Saccharomyces cerevisiae S288C: one gene and its partners. The gene in region 1 interacts genetically with each later gene. Each region holds a gene or a part of one and is shown on either strand. Other genes may lie near its edges.

Region 1 (4,561 bases):
TTCTAGGCGATAAGAGAAGACAACGGCTAAAACTTAAGATGTTGGGGTACTATAAATGTTTACCCAGATTTTCGGTAGAAATGTTTGCTGATGTGAACCTTGTTTCCCGTTTTCCCAGATCCCCTTATTCCAGCTTTGTTTCGTCTTTGCTGTCATGTTCCGTTTAATTTCTGAAGGCCTGCCTAGCTTCACCGTCCTAAATGTCACGCTCCAGGCAGAGACATGGCGCAGGGGCGAGGCCAGGGGCAAAGGGGTCAGGCAGGAACCTCCAAGGGGGGCGAGGTGAATGAAAAGGTCCTTCTGAATAAAAAGCCTAAGCGATTAGCCACACCACCCACTGTACGGCGATTAGACTGAGCTGCTGGCGCTGCTACGCCGTGACAAGTCATTTCATCATTTATTACGTTTTATCGTGCCGTCATCACCATCGATTTGAATATTTTATCTAGACCGGTAGGGCCCAAGTATCTTGCAGATCCATTGATACGGCCACGCCCGTTAAAACGCTAAGATATATATATATGTAGCTAAGATATATATATATGTATATATTCGGTATTTAGTAGATATTTCCTTAAGGCGATATTCGCCCGAGAGCTATTTCACAGTTTTTTTTTGCAGTCGTCGCAATACCACTTGCCCTTAGGTAGAGTTTCGAGTCCAATACATGGCAAATGGAACCATTCTAGCTCACAGTCTGCGCCATCACACCCCACCATTTCCCCGTATGCCACTTGGTTACAGTAGCAGTAGAGCGGTTCGCCGTAGTCGTTGGTTTTTGGTCTTGATATCCTGCTGTTGTTGCTGTTTCCGACGCTGCTAACTCCCCTGGACGCTGTAGATGTACCTATCCTGCCATTATTGACGGCAGTTGCCGTGCTGATAGTGCTTGGTGAAACGGCTGTGGTGGCAACTCTCCTCTTGCGTTTTTTGGTCTCTGGATCGGCGTTGTTGGTATTGGCAGCGTTGGCTCTTTTTCTTGAGTTTGTGTTGTTACCAGTGTGGTCTTGGCTCTCGTGCCTGCTGCCTCCGTAGTTTGCGTCGTTCTTTGAGTCGTCTTGTTGGTGTGTGCTGGCGGAGTAATGTTCGCCCTGCCTCCTGTTGGCAGCCATGGCTTCTCTTCTTGATTCGCTCTTCAGTGCCTGCGACGATTTGCTGTTTGATTTGCTCTCTATTTTTTCCATTAGTTCATGATGGAGGTGCATTGCTGGATGGTTGTCCACACCCAGTCTTAAACCTCTAGGAATTTCTGTGTTCTTGATTGCGACTTCATACGCCAATTCTAACCGGGACGTCAATCTGTCTAGATTATCCAGCATAATGGATGAGACATGCATTTTCTCCTCCAGCGATGGCATCAGTTCTTCATAAATCTTGTTGATATTATTGAGCAGTCTTACTTGTGTTTGGTGATCTTTATTGAAGTCTTTCTTCAAGAACTTATCTATCCTCTCGTTCAAATTCGGCATAGAATGCACACATTTTGCATCTATTTCGTGTAGTAATGTTAAATATCTGGAGGTGGCCAGTGGGAATTCCTCCAGCACGTCAGTTATGTCGTTTAATCCAGGGAATAGGTTCGCTGGTGAACTCATTTGTACGTATTTCAGACTATGAACGTGGTTGCTGTTTGTGATACTGCAAGACTACAAACTTTTCTCCTTCCGGGTTCGTCCTGTTGTAAACGCCTAACTCTTTTCCTTAGGCTCCTTTTTCGTTTTTTCCCTAGCTCTTTCTTTCTTCTTCATGTGCATGCACTCTTTCCTACATATTTTTTTTTCAAGGGCATTTTTAACTTTCTTCGGAAATCGTCTAAGAATTGTAAACTATAATTGCAAATACGCGATTAGCTCTATCTAGAATACCGAAAAAAAGGTTTGCCACTCACAATTGGACGTGCCTCAATTATTTCAAGTATACGTCATTTGGGCTTTTGACTTGTAAAATATACTCAAATGAAATTCTGATTATACAAAGTTGAAACACGTAACACGCCATGTCAAGGTACGCGTAGAGGTAAGCAGATAATGCATGGACAATGTGCTGGGCGAAGAGGCGGATCTAATTACACATACTTGGGATCATCTAAGATTTCAGATGGTTATGTTAATGCTCACTTGTTCCACGCCTTTTTCCTTTCCTTCAGATAAGTAATCCGCATATCAATGTGAAAGAACTAACGGTTGTTGATGGACGTATCGTTGTCTAGCGATAAATAATGCTTTTTCTTCAACAAATAAGTGGTTGTTTGGCCGAGCGGTCTAAGGCGCCTGATTCAAGAAATATCTTGACCGCAGTTAACTGTGGGAATACTCAGGTATCGTAAGATGCAAGAGTTCGAATCTCTTAGCAACCATTATTTTTTTTCCTTTTTATCTGATTGCAGCGAGAACTTGGGAAATCAACCCAATATGTATTCCAAAATGTCAAAACACCAATTAAAGCATCTCTATATTGACAGATACAAAATATATTTAAGTATACATTCATAATTATTTTACTCGAATTAAAAAAGCCCACTTTTTGGAAACCTCCTTTTGTATTCTCATAACTATGTTTCTTTTTTTATTATTTTTTCTTAATATTATTTTCTTTAAGTATGACAAATGATGAGAATGATAGTTATCTCACTATTTAGTTGGTCTGGCTTGGAATTTCAAAAACAATTTGTTTGCCAGTCAACTTGTTGTAGACAGCTTGGAAAGATTCCAACTTGTAGTCGATTTGTTGAACATCCTTGGAGTCTAACAAAACCTTTTGGATCTTGTTACCACCAACCAAATATCTAACTCTTTTACCGACAATTTCAGTTGGGAAAACCATGTCTTCCAAAACCTTGTCGTGAACAGCAGTCAAAGTTCTGGATCTTGGTCTCTTTTGGACTTGTCTAGATGTTCTAGATGGTTTTGGCAAGATTCTTCTTTCAGCCAAGAAAATAACATGACGGTCAGGGAATTTCTTTTCCAATTCACGGGTCAATTTGGTTTGGACCTTATGGTATGCAGACAAAGCTGGAACTGGGACAAAAAGGACTAGTGCTTTCTTACCACCGGTGACATCAATCTAAACAATAAGAATCAAGCAGCGTTGAAATAAAGTTAGTAACTGAATTGGTTCATTCATAACAAAAAAGGGTTTGTGATTCTTCTCCTTGGGGTAAGGTCTTTTTCGCGTGCTTCTATTTTATTCATCGATATTGGTACTGACCAAGGAGGCCTTTATAGTTCAAAGGCTCATCGCAACGTTCATGGTATTGACAGCTCTCGGAATTACTATTTTTCTCGAACACATGAAAATTTCATACAGATACTGCTCAAAATCACTCTTTTTTGAAAAAATTACTGCAAAGAACCCCTTTAGAAGAAATCACAATGTTGCTGCTTCCAAATTATATAACTTTTAACATACTTCTCTGATAGATTTGATTTGCAATGGTCTCAAGTCAGCCTTTAGTTCTGGAGAGGAGCTTTCTAGATCGATGAAGGTCTTGGCGACTTGTAATTCCAACTCACTTGGAGCTTGGGATAAGATCTTGGATTGGACAGAGGACATTGGTCAGTTATGTGTCTAGTCTTTAGTGTGTTGGTTTCTCTTCTGTTTGTATATACAAAGTCAAATAACACATATTTTAACCATAATCAATAGCATTTGGTATTTCCCCCTCCGCGTATTATGAACGCCTAGTGAGCCCATTCTTCCCTAAAGCCAGGCTGGAAACCCAAACTGTGTGGAACGTGACTGAATTGCATTTGGTGAGTTACCAAGCAAAGGCTCGCAGGCTTGAACCACATTTTACCAGGGCGCTCGCTTTTTCCGAAATATTGAAATTAAGCAAAACAATAATGTACGGATTTAAAGAGGTACGGATGGAGACCGTAGAAAATTGACTTTTTTTTTTTTTTTGTTATTTTCTGTGCCTTTCGTAACTACTACTATGCAGAATGACAGGTAGTTGTTGTTTCGAATTGCTACTTTCACGCATTCAACTTGATCAACATTTCTCTCTGATGAAAGGTTGTGGAAAGTTTGGTCGTGTCTATAAGTAGGTGTTTTTTATTAGTTCTATATAAAAATGGAGAATGTTAATTTTAACCCACCCTAAAACAGTGATTAGGAGTGGTAATAATTTTTTGTTTAATGGATTAAAACTAAAGGTTCATCTGTACTTTCAGAAAGTAAGACACTAAAAATGGCAAGCTAACAACCATTAGCGGGTATTGCAGCATTAAGAAAAATGAAACACACTCCATTTGGATTGGCGCAGTTGTTTCTGGCGGCGTAAAACTGGCGGTGAAATATATAAGGGTAGTCATCGTTGGCAAGTTCCAGCTGATTGCTATAACAAATAGTAGCATTCTATCATCTTGCCAATTAACCCATCCAGCTTTCACTAACCGATCACACCATAGGACACCAAAAATTGGCATGACACATTGTCTCAAAATGACGAGTGTCACAGCGGCTTTCCAAAATCCAGGATAAAGGTTGCCAATCTTTAATCTTCCTAAAGTTGCTCCTAATAATATCAACCCAAATGGAACACATGCGGCACCGACATAAC
Region 2 (4,647 bases), on another chromosome or scaffold:
TTAAGTTGAAGAACTAACGGTCTTCTTGTGACAATACCAGTACCCCTAGGTAAAAAATCTCTTCCAACTAACGTTTCCAATATCGAGGATTTCCCGGAGGATTGTGACCCAACAACAGCTAAAATGGGCAAATCGAGTGTATCGATCCCGGAGTCGTACATAACATCCTGCAGCTTGTTGACAGTAGGAATAAGATCTTCTAAACTAGCCATTCTTTATCCGTCGTATTTAGATTCGCTGGTAGCTACTTAATGATAAACTCTTTAGCAAATTGTGGCCAACCTGAGCAGTAGAGTAAAGGTAATATTTCATCCTACCCTCTTATTTATTGTTCCCACACTTTGTTTTGCCCGACCTTACAGGCGTGCACCGCGTAGTAAAAGTTGAGGACCTATCATTACCTAGAAAGGTGGCGATCAAGGTACTAACAATAAATACAAACATGCATTTTCTAAGATCGATGCTACATACGTGTACTAAATAATAAATATCAATATGTATCAAGTTTTAGGCAAGGCTTTAGCTTTTTTACGCGGTTTTAGCATTGTTATCGCCAACGTGTTGATGTTGCTTGCAGGAACCGGCTGATTTCTCTCCCGATGCTCCCTCTTCCCTGTTAAAGATTGAAGATTTGTTGCCATTCTGAGCAATAGAAAATCACGAATATTGGTGAAAGCTTCTATTGCGCCTTCCTCTGTATCGTATTCCTCTCCAGTAATGTACTTCTTGATTGCCCTAAACTGCTTCCTTGACTTCGGTACAATAACATCGGCACTAGATGGAAATAAAGATGGAGTGGCAAGAGAGTATCCCGAAATACCCATTACAGATGATGTGACACTTAATTTGAACTCTTGACGCTCTTGTAGTTCAATCCAGAAGGATGATAAGCTTACTTTGAGGAGGCGATCTTCCTCTGCCAATTGGTGTATAAATCTAGCCTTAGGATCGTCTGGGAATAATGGAATATTATATACCGCAAGAGAATTTTCTTTAGAGGTAAATATATCACCCACTTGCCATAGTGGATATTTCATCCCTCTTAGGTATGATCTTACTCGAGCAGGATCTTCGCCCGGTATCCTTAATTTTGCTTGTGTATCATTTTGAAAGCATTCAATTAGTAATCTATCCAAAATAAAGCCCCACCATTTCATTAGTTCCTCGCCATTTAGTATATGCTTTTTGCTGTTTTTTGAAGAATCTGGGAAGAGGTACTGGGATGCAGGTCTAGTAAATAAACAAATTTTGGTCAAAATCTCACGAGGACAGGTGAATGAGAGATAAAGATCTTGTTGAAAACGTGGAGATTCTATTTCTTTCAAAACGGTGCTGCCTGACTGTTTAAGCCTTCTAGCCAAAATCCTTAAAGTTCTTGCTGGCGTACTGGCTGCGCTAATCAGCTCGGGGGATATCTTCTTATATGATCTTATTGCCGGTTTTACTTTTTGAAGATAGTAATTCGGGTCGATTGATAATATAAATTCTAATATTATTTTTGTAATATCTCTAACGCTTACCCTCGTATTACAATAACCATTAGTGTCTGCCTTTGATACAAATATTAACCGTTCGGCATCTGCTTCATCCCAAAGCGTGACATACACATACACTTCTAATGAAAAAAAAACTTTTCCTTGGTGAAATAGACTAAAGAAGTGTTGAGTCTTGATCGTGCTTTTTGGGACCCTTTTGTCGTCCTTATTTGGGGTTACGACAGCATGGGTTTCTAACGGAATAGATTGCAACGATAAGTATTCAAATTGTTCACTGACAGGTAGCACGGAACTTAGGAAGTCATTCAGTGACATGTCTTATTGAAGACCGGTTGAATTGACCTTTTAACTCTACTGGACAACTCTATTGACAAACTGTAGTTTGTTAAGTAATGCGTTATGGCGTCCATTTTCCATTATAGCTTACAACGCGAACACGAAAAGTATAGTATGTTGTGATGTTTTCATAGACCTGGAGAATATTATTAGTAATTGTATGCATCTCAGAAGCAAGAAAGGTTACGACTACATATGCACACATACATACGTACATAATATATATATCTATTGACGTTTACGACTTAACGGGGATTTATCATGCTCTCTTATATAATCCATATCTTGATCGATTTTAGGAGAATTGGCGCTTAGGCTAAAAGGTACAGCGGGTATTCTGCCAAAATCAATATGGTCAACTTTGGATGGCATGTTTCTAGTGGTACGCCTAGGAGAATACCTTAGAGGTTTTCCTCGCGTCGGAGATCCGTTTAAGCCTGTCGTACTTTCAAGGTTGATCTGTTTTTTAGCTGTAGAATCAAGAACACTGGAAGATTTCACCGGACTTGGTATGGCTCTTCTTGCCCTGCTATAATGCGACTTCATCGCTTCCATTCTGTGCTGCTTTATTCTTTCTGAGCCTGGTATGGTTGAGGCGTTTTGAGAGTCTGATCTTATGGGAGTTTTTAGTTCATGTTTAAGATTGAAGTCCTTCCTTCTCTTTGGAGAACTGTCTGAACGATTTTTCCATAATAATAACAATCCCCTTACAGTGGCCCTGTCCCACCGATGACGAAACACCTCGACTGTCTCATCATTACGCTTAATTTTTAGGAATCGAAGACTCCACATTTTCAAGAATTTGGATGTAATTATGAATTGTTTATTAGCTTCCGATTGTTCCAATAATGTACTCATATAAAATATTTCGTCTAGATGAGTTTTCCAAATATAAAACGTCTTGACTAACACAAATTCTTCGCGAACTTCGTCTGCTAATTCTTCTGATTTTACTATCTCTAAAAGTCTTTCTCTAAATTTCTTCAGCACCATTTTTTCAAGCTGGTAGTTTCTCTTTGAAATAGCCTGAATGTTACATTCTTCTGTGTAGAAGCAAAATCTATTTCGCCAAGCGTTGAACAGTTGGCTTTGAAGTTCGCGCTCTTTACTCTTTTCATAAACGTGTAAAATATCGTTTAACTTATGCCTGACTTTGAACCTTGTGGCTTTCCGCCACTTTAAAAAGGCCTTAGAAAGCTTTACTCTATCCATAGAGGGCGCCAGTTTCGTATATAGCAAATGAACATTATCAATATGCATTAGCGTCCGTTTTACAGTCAAAATTGCATGTGTCTTACATAAGAAATTGTATCTATCCTCCAATTCCTTAGTTTTAATCAGGCGTTCTTTCCATATAGCTAGACACTCATTTACGAGACCCTCTTCGTAAAATTTGGATGCTTCGTCATTCATAGAATTCATTTGTAGCATCCTCCTTTTCCACACACCAAGATATTTTGCACAAAATGCCGTTTTAACATGTTCGCTCGATATTTTCCCATACTGTATTCTTTTCCTCCATGTACGATACGCGCTTGCTTGAATACTCTTTTTACATTTCTGCTCAAATATTTTTAACTTTACTTCAAGTTTCCAACTTCGCAATGATGACTTGAGCAAATTAGTCCTCGAATAATCGCTTGCTTTGAGGTCAATATATAGAAGTTTTTTCCATGAATGAAAAATACGCTTCACGAGGTTAGCCTCTTTTAGACTTACAATTGAATACAAATGCAGATGGTCTTCGAATCTTTTCAGCCACATCTTCTCAAAAACGCACCTCAAAAGTGTCTGATTTAGTTTACTCTTTGCAATTGCCTCTTGTTGACTATGTTGAAATGACCGGTTTAATTTGCGAAAAAACTTTTGTTTGATGAATTTATTCTCCAGTTCATAAAGTGCCCCAAGTTTATCTTCGTTTTCAATGTTTTTCTTTTCCCATTTATTCAGATATTTTCTTTGTAGAGAAAACGACCTCACTTTTTCTGCAATGCTCTTATTGTATTCATAGTTTATAACTTTCTGTTTTATTCTTTCGAAAATCCTTCTTTCCAACCCGTGGTAGTTTATTTCTTTATGTCTTAGCTTCCATATATGAAATGTTGTTCGTAAAAATATCTTCTTAATGTTGTCAGTGTTAACAGTTTCTAAGTGTTTCCAATGCTCTTGTGCCTTTAAAATTTTCCTAAACATCTTATTCAAAAAGGCCTGATCTGCTAACCTTGACTGCTCCTTAAGAGTTTGTGTTAAAGTTATCCATTGTTGGAACGAGCGAAATAGTAGCCAAGTATTCCTAAAACTTTCAGCTTCATCGTTGGCCATCTGTGAGTATTTTAATGTTTTATCACTCCAAATATAGAAGACGGCTTCCTGTACCCTCAGCTTTGCTTGATTTGCAAACCTGTTTGCCTCTTCATTCAATTCACATACAGTCTTCCAGTGATTAAAATGTCTTCTGATTTTGTTCTTAGCGTAGGTATATTCTGCAAGGGACAATGCAATGAATTTGTTGCGAGGGTGGATTAAAAATATTTCTAAAATCTCTTCTATAACAGAATTGAAAGTGAAAAAACCTTTCAGTTCATCTTCCAATATTGTGAAGTACTCATCGCGTAAAGGATTGATGCCTTCTTGAATAAGAATATTGACATAGTTTTTGAAAATTTGTAAAAAACTTCTGGATAGTTTGAAATGAACCAAAAAAGCTTCAATCTGGCGGTATAAATCTTCGATTACCTCAACGGATATATCATTCAAATCATATCGTAAACCATTCTTAGGAAGATCGGTAACGTCTTCATACTCCAGATTTGTC
Region 3 (7,422 bases), on another chromosome or scaffold:
AAAATTTTGACCATTAGGTGCCTTAATTCTATGAGAGCAGAAACTTTGATTAATCACTTGCCAAACAATTTCGTCGGACATATCCTCGTTGTATTCTAACCGTTGTAGTTATGTACTGAAGAGAACACTGTCAAAAGAAAGAACTAAGCAATGCAATATCTGCCTCTATACCAATCACTTTTTCATTTTTTTTCAAAAGCTCATCGGAAAATTTTTCAAAAAAAAAAAAAAAAAAAAAAAAGGTTTATTACCCTACTGCATTTTGATAATCTGAACATAATGAGCTAATGAAAGCAATTCTCATTTAAAAACAAGTATTCTCTCTTATTGAAGTATGCATTATCTATCATTATAAATTCTTTTATTCTGTTCGAGTCCATGTTTTTAAAAAAAAAAAAACATGTATGTATGCTCCATCTATATATGCTCCATCTGTATATTTTATATGCAAAGTTTTTTACAAGAGGAATTTGGGAACTGGAGGAAAGTGGCACAATACCTCATGTGGATAGTTCATTAATCTCTTCTTGTGTTAATGTGCTAATATAAACACACTTACTCAGCAATTCGTGGTTAACTTTGAAAGTGTAAAACTTGGACCATTGAACCCTTTGAATGAAATTCTTGACTATTTGAACGTTCGTATCGAATTTATTGTAATTCACTACTTTATCTTCTAAGATCCAGTCTTTCTTCTCTGCGTTTGCTGATAGGTCCGAAAGATATACGACGATGAAAGGGACGCAACCCACCAGTGGATTCACAGAGTTAAGTAGATTTCTTATTGTAGAATAATTCCTGTCTAGCGAGGGAATCTTCTTTAGCTCTTCCCAAGTCAGTAAGTCGCCTGGTTCAATCAGACGCCATGCATCAGTGAATTTTTGAACAACTGAAGAACTTAAGGCTAGAATGATTTCCATCAATGTGTTAAAGTTCTGAAATGTCCTGCAGTGGTCTGCAACGTGTATAAACCTTTGAATGACATTTCTTTTCATTTTGCTGCTCTTGGTAAGAAGTATTTCTGATATAATCCAATCCACAGTTAAGTTAAATCTGGATATAGCTAAATCAATGCCAGATAAGGTCTCGTTCCTTACTAGTAGTTGCAACCAACTTATAACTTGTGGGCCTTCATGCTTCATCTTTAAATCTAATAAATCTTTCCAGTCTATTTCTCCTAAAATTTCCTTCTCTATCAAGGTCATTTGTTGCGCTACAGACAGGGAATCGTACATTAGTATAAATGGAACGTGACTTTCATTATTAGAAATCATTAATCTCGAATCGTGAATCCTGTATTGACCGATTAATTCCTGGATTTGCGCCGCTTGCACAGCAACATCAACATTAGCTGACACGTCTATTTTTTCAGGAGAGGAGGAAGTAAAGCCTTCCTTCTCGGATTGATCTGGAGTAAAGGGGATATTCATTATAGTTTGTCTCCTTCTTTCTATTAATAACGATTTTCTTTTTTCTGCGGGGCTATTTTGGAATGACGGCAAGTTGTTAAGGTTTAGCATTTCCACTTCATCTGCTAACTTGCTCGTTTTAATTCCAATAGCGTCACTACTCTTGGTGTTCTCTGGTTTTTCGGGAATTTTCTCGTATGTACCTTCCAGTTTCATTAATGCCACGGTTATTGGATCGTCATTAATTGAATCATCGAGCATATTAGCAATTTCATTTAAATTTTTCTTATTCAAGGAGCCTGTAAAAGCCGACTCAGAGTTTGCTCTCCGTGTGTTCCGGGCACTAGATGTGTCATTAATGTCGATATCGTCCATTGTCAATACACTTCCTGATATGTTACTATTAGTTTCACTCTCGTTCTTCAGAAATTTACTTTTCAGCTCTTCAACGTTTTTCATTGGAGAAGCAACGTCAATGCTACCGTCATCTGGTGAAAAAAAATACTTGTTGTTTTTCGCATGGGTACTTGGACTTTCTAGGTCATTATTGGAATCGCTTAAATCAATTGTTTTTAACTCATGCAATGAAGAAGTATTTGAGATTATATCTTGATTACCCCTTTGATATTCTTCTCTCAAATTTATTATCCTTTGGTGTGGCACTGGTAAATCTCTGGACGTTTCGAAAGTTTCAACTGTGCTACCAGTGGTAATCGAATTCAAATCACTTACAACAGATTCTATTGTGGGTGCTATGGATAATCTGATTCTATTGGTTTCACTCACGCTGGTCCCGTTGGGAAATTCTCTCTGTGGATTTTGAGTTTGTTTTAGAGGACTATTCTGAGCAGATTCAAAAAGCTTGCTCGTTGAGATACTGATAACGGTGGACGATGTATCAGAGTACAACGCGCTTTTTTTATTATATTCCAGGTTGAGAGGTTCTATTTCACTTATTTCCTCTATAACTGAGTTTGACTTGTTTTGCTCAGGATCTACTATGGATAACTCTTTGGTTGGTGTTATGGCAATGCTTTGAACTCTTGAAATGCTGATCCTTCCACTAGCCGGTCTTACAACTGCTTGTTTGATCTTGTGATTGCAAGATGAATGTTTTTTTCTTGTAGTTATATCATAATTATTGGCTTCTGATGATGCATCGAGTGAGTTGTCCAGCTTTTTTGTGCTCTCATATTCTGATTCCTGATTTTCTTTGTTATCATAATTCTTTTCAAGGCCATCTATAGTACTCTTTTTCTCATCTAAAGACTTGGTATCTTCAAATGTAAACTCTCTTAGATTTAAAAATCCAGTTTTTGTTTTTAGAGTTGGACTATCTGTATTATTCACGATGTTTCTGACTTTTCTTGACTTTTTCGTTACAGTATCTCTGGGTGGAGAGCTGGATGACAACTCGGAATCGTATGAGTATGTTATTGATTCTGTGTCTTCCCTACTATCGTTTAAGGGAGACGATTCTTTAAGATCAGGTAGAACATTTTTCAGAGGCGAAGAAGTCATGCTTTTTTGGGATTGGGAATGATTTTTCCTCCTTGGTGTCATATTTGTAATCGCTTCTGAGTTGGTTTTATCAGTTTCATGGAATAACAATCTTTGAGGTCCATTCTCGTCTGTACGTGAAGAACTATTATCTTTATCAAAGAGCCTCATACTTTCTGCTGAGTAGCTACCGTGCATTTTATTGTAATATGCTGTCGTGAGACTTTTTACTTTCCTTCGTTGCAGTGCATCATACGAGGGTGATGGCTGCATATTCGATTCATTGTTCTGCAGTTGCTTGTTTAAAGTATTAGTTAAAGAGATGACTGACTGAGCAATTGAACTTACGGTTTGATACAGATCCAAATTGTCCATAGCGCTAAAATTATCATTACTCGGTTTAAAGCTATTTTGTTGTAAAATCTTTATATCATGTATGTGTTCCCGACGTTCACAATCAACATTAACTGTAGGACCTCGGTTGTTATTCGAATGTGTTTGAACTTTTTCTATCAGCTGGTTTTGTAAATGCAGTAGGGACTCCACTTCATCTATGGTTCTTGCACTTAGGATGTCAAATTTAGAAGAATCAGAGTTAAGAAACTCTTCCTCTTCTTCCTTGGAAGATTTTCTATTGAGAGATGATATTGATACAACGTATTTGACAAACGCATCCATTTCAGGTTTCTGGTTTGCTGGTTTAATAGCACTCATAAATTTTTTATCATTACTGCTATCATGGCGATTATGGTTTTTCATCCACTTAGCTAAAAGACCAATAGCGCTGCGATGTAACACAGACATTGAAGATGTATTAGATCTACTATTACTGTTGCTATTGTTATCTAGAGATGATGTCGTCGATGTACCTTGAAGCGTTCCGCTTTGTTCATTTAAATCTTCAGGAATATATAAGGAATTCAGAATAAATTCAACTTTTTTAGCCGGTGTTGGAGGCATTATTTTATCGACTGCATATGATGACGGGTAGTCTACGCCTTTCATTAGTGTGGATACTAGAGTGACTTTTGACAAGTGGCTGATCTTTTGTTTACTATCTGACATGTCCTCGCTTTCATTATCAACTGAAGGTTCTTTCGCTATTCGGTGCTTCGAGTAAACATTTGATGTATTATCGGGAAATAAAAGCATAGAAGGGCTTCTCTGGTTTTTGGAAGAATTTGAAGACTGTAGCTTCTCCGGCAGTCTAAATACATCAGAAGTTTTATATAATGATAAAACGCTTTGGTTACGAAAATCAGGACTGGCAAAACTTTGCCTGGCGTAAATGCTCAGTCGGCTTCCTCTTTTGTGTAGGCTTTCTAGTTGCGTGAAATCCTTTAACGAATAATGCAGCCATGCATCAAAGTCTAATTTATCAGGTTCATTTAGTTCAATATTCTCCCAAACCAACTTAGAACAATGCACCCAGTTTTTTTTCAGATTGATTATACAGCTGGAAATTATTTTTGGGTACTGTTCAATGTGTTTGTCGTTTAGAAACTCGATCAACCGAAGTCTTAATGTTATGTTCGGTAAAAAATCTTGCACAAAATAATTCAGTATGGAATGCCTCAACAACACAAACGTCCTCACGAGGGCAACTTCACCAATTCGCCTTCTCTTAGCTTTTGCAGCATTTGTTGTGATCTCCCTAATACACCATCGAAATCTATAGATGAGTAAGTCGTGTAAGTCTTGAGGCGTTATAAAATTCCTATAAATAAGGAAAAAATCTGCAGATGCGTTGTAGTCTACACCTTCCAAAGGGGAAGAAAGGTGTACAATTAACGCGGGCAGGTCTGCACTATTCACTGGTTTGGATACACAATCGCTTTCATAGCTAATAACATTTGAGGATGGAGTCGGGTAGTAATCTTTCTGGCTAAATATTTCCATGGTTCAGGGTAGCGAATCTTTGAATGGCTAGAGGCTATGTAAAGCAAACAAAAAGGTTCGCGTAAATCAACGAGCGAATAACACGAGTACGGTTGGGGTGGGCTAAAGGGTTCAAGAAATTATCAGTTTCTGTTTACAGTTTTTTTTTCATTGTTGATAAAAAGATCAAGAATTTCATTATTCGCGAAAATCAAAATGCAGAAAGGAAAAAATAGAAGGGTAATAAAACAGCATCGGATCGCAAAGATGAGTAAGGAGAACAGCCTGGTTAACAATTAAAGAGTGTTTATCGAAATTCATTATATAGTGGTTTATATAGACCACTTCTTCTGCTGGTTGATATAGAAATTTTATTTAATTCTTGTTTTTTACTTATGTACTTACTACGATGATCTTAATTCATGCTTCTTGCTTGTCGGCAATGTCCCAAGTGGAAAACCAGTTTAAGTAGCGGAAGTTACTACTTGGTCCCTCCATACCAAATGATATTGGGGAGAAGTACCAGAAGCAACCAATTACAAGTGCCATGAATCCGGCGTATAGGACGAACCGCATGATACGGCCGCACTTAGATCTGGACCATTTTTGCAAACCGGCGTCGAAACAGTACGCCAAAATGATCAGTGCAAAATACAAGGCAGGCAAGTAATGATGAACGTAGGTGACTCTAGACATGATAACGAATGGCATGTAGTGTAGGCCCCAAGCTAGTAGTGGGTAGAACCCGCCCATTAAGAAAACGTTCCAGTTAGATGGATTTCTTAGGTCCACATATTGTCTTTGCCATCTGATCAGTAAGATAACGACCGTGGCCATGAATGCGAGGACGGCAACACTAGAAGCCCACGTGGAAGCTGGGGTACCCAATAGGAAGTATTTTGGATTATCATCACCCCAGCCACATAGTCTCAAACCCACATTCAAAGTTGGCCATTGCCATGCTGAGGAAGCTAAGTAATCAAATTTGTCTGGATCTGGCACCAAAGCGTTATTAGTGGCCATCATGGCTAGATTTAAATGAATGAAGTCTTTTAAGAAGTTGGTCTTTGGGTATTGAAAATCTTCGGGTCTTGGTGGCAACCTTTCATTTTCGTGGGTCTCGATGTTCCACCAGGTCCTCTTGTCCCTCTTGAATGGGTTTTTCATGCAGACAACCTCTTGTTGTCTGAAACCCCATTCGGGCAAACTGTTACCGGTTTGAGCCAAGTAACAGCCCATCTCCAAGTTCTTGATACGGAAAGAGGTGGTCAATGTGTGCAACTTCTCAGGGTCTTCATCTCCTCTTTGGTCCATGATCTCAATAACCCAATTGTCTTTGTTGTCACCAACAACATTGTCACCGTAACCAGAAACCTCCCATTGTGTCTTTGACACTGGTGCAGCAACTGGGTGGGTGTGCAAGTTTCTGCCCGTGCTTTTGTGTACCAATCTATAGGAGGTACCTGGCTTCAAATACTCGATGTCAGTTTCGTTTTCTGACCATGATGGTAAGCCTCTTTCTCTGTTGAAAAACCATTCGTTGTTAGCATCTTTGTAACCATAACAGGTTACTTGTTGTTGGTTGGACCCATCTGGATAAGTTTGTATATGTGAGTGCAATAGAGATCCTCCAAGAGCTTGGTTTTTGATGGAAACAACGGAGGAACCTAGAGCAATGTCACGGGGGCCTTGTCCGACGTCAGAACCCACTAATCTTGCTTGGAAAAGAGATGGCATGTTAGCATCACCTGTACCAGAATGCGATAATAGGTCAAAATGTATTTTGAAGCACAATAGGAAAATGCAGAAGGGGACGATAATAAGACCAAATATTCTTGCCAACCAGTGGTTAATATAGGTTTTCCATGACATGGATTTATCTGCCAAAAAGGTCCATAAGTCAATCACAGTATAGATACCGACCATAGTGATGATAAATAGACCCACCATTTTGACGGAAATAGTGCAACCCAAAGAAATACCAGTGATCAACAGCCATTTCCACCACTTTCTAGAGAACGGCTTGGACCTCTGGTTGTGGAACATAACAAAACTAAAGAACGATGCGACAGTGAAGAAAAGTAGCATGGAGTCCAAAAGAATGAACCTGCCCAAAGTACTATACGAGTTTTCAAACAAAACCAACACGGTCATCAGCCAAACTGTTGGTAAAGAAAATCCAATAGCTTTGGCAGTGAAGTAGGCCAATGGCACACAGAGCGCGGAAAATGACGCGTTGAACAGTCTCATTTTAACATAATCCAAATAGTCTGGGTAAATTTCCCCAGAAGGGAAGTCCCAAGAACCGTTGTAGCCTGCCAAATAACCAGACAACCCGACCAGCATTTTTCCTAGGGGAGGATGGACATCGTGGTAAAATTCGTGTCTCAAGTAATAAGAACCAAATTTACCAAAGTGCGCCTCATCCCAAACAACATGGTTGTTGATGCCGATTTTGTACATCCTGGTAAACAACGCCAATGCAGTAAAGATCACCGGCATTACAACGGATTCCAGGCGTAACAGTGAGCTTTGTGCAGCGGGCTTTTCCTTCGAGAAATCTTCCGCGTCTCTCTCATCAGCGCTCGAAAGTTCCTCACTGACGCTGATGGAAGACGATTCTCTTTGTCTCAGT

The links.
Region 2: mutations in PHO23 (region 1) and RTT109 together harm fitness more than expected from each alone (negative genetic interaction), as found in Saccharomyces cerevisiae (5 studies listed by BioGRID).
Region 3: mutations in PHO23 (region 1) and LTE1 together harm fitness more than expected from each alone (negative genetic interaction), as found in Saccharomyces cerevisiae (5 studies listed by BioGRID, with this or other methods).

What each region holds. Positions count from the first base shown.
Region 1 is NC_001146.8:440,764-445,324, forward strand, and holds PHO23 (Pho23p), read right to left. Parts: upstream 1,596-4,561; coding exon 603-1,595; downstream 1-602. Other genes in the region: PLS1 (Pls1p), read right to left, coding at 34-156; 40S ribosomal protein eS7 RPS7B, read right to left, coding at 2,635-3,063, 3,409-3,552; YNL095C (uncharacterized protein), read right to left, coding at 4,149-4,561. UniProt on the Saccharomyces cerevisiae protein: Component of the RPD3C(L) histone deacetylase complex (HDAC) responsible for the deacetylation of lysine residues on the N-terminal part of the core histones (H2A, H2B, H3 and H4).
Region 2 is NC_001144.5:143,455-148,101, reverse strand, and holds RTT109 (H3 histone acetyltransferase RTT109), read right to left. Parts: upstream 1,812-4,647; coding exon 501-1,811; downstream 1-500. Other genes in the region: dynamin-related GTPase DNM1, read right to left, coding at 1-212; SFI1 (Sfi1p), read right to left, coding at 2,061-4,647. UniProt on the Saccharomyces cerevisiae protein: Histone chaperone-dependent acetylase that modifies 'Lys-9', 'Lys-14', 'Lys-23', 'Lys-27', and 'Lys-56' on histone H3 (H3K9Ac, H3K14Ac and H3K23Ac, H3K27Ac, and H3K56Ac) to promote nucleosome assembly, genomic stability, DNA repair and transcriptional regulation during mitotic S-phase.
Region 3 is NC_001133.9:101,065-108,486, forward strand, and holds LTE1 (mitotic regulator LTE1), read right to left. Parts: upstream 4,809-7,422; coding exon 501-4,808; downstream 1-500. Other genes in the region: ribosome biosynthesis protein MAK16, read right to left, coding at 1-81; dolichyl-phosphate-mannose-protein mannosyltransferase PMT2, read right to left, coding at 5,208-7,422. UniProt on the Saccharomyces cerevisiae protein: GDP-GTP exchange factor for TEM1, a Ras-like protein, component of the mitotic exit network (MEN).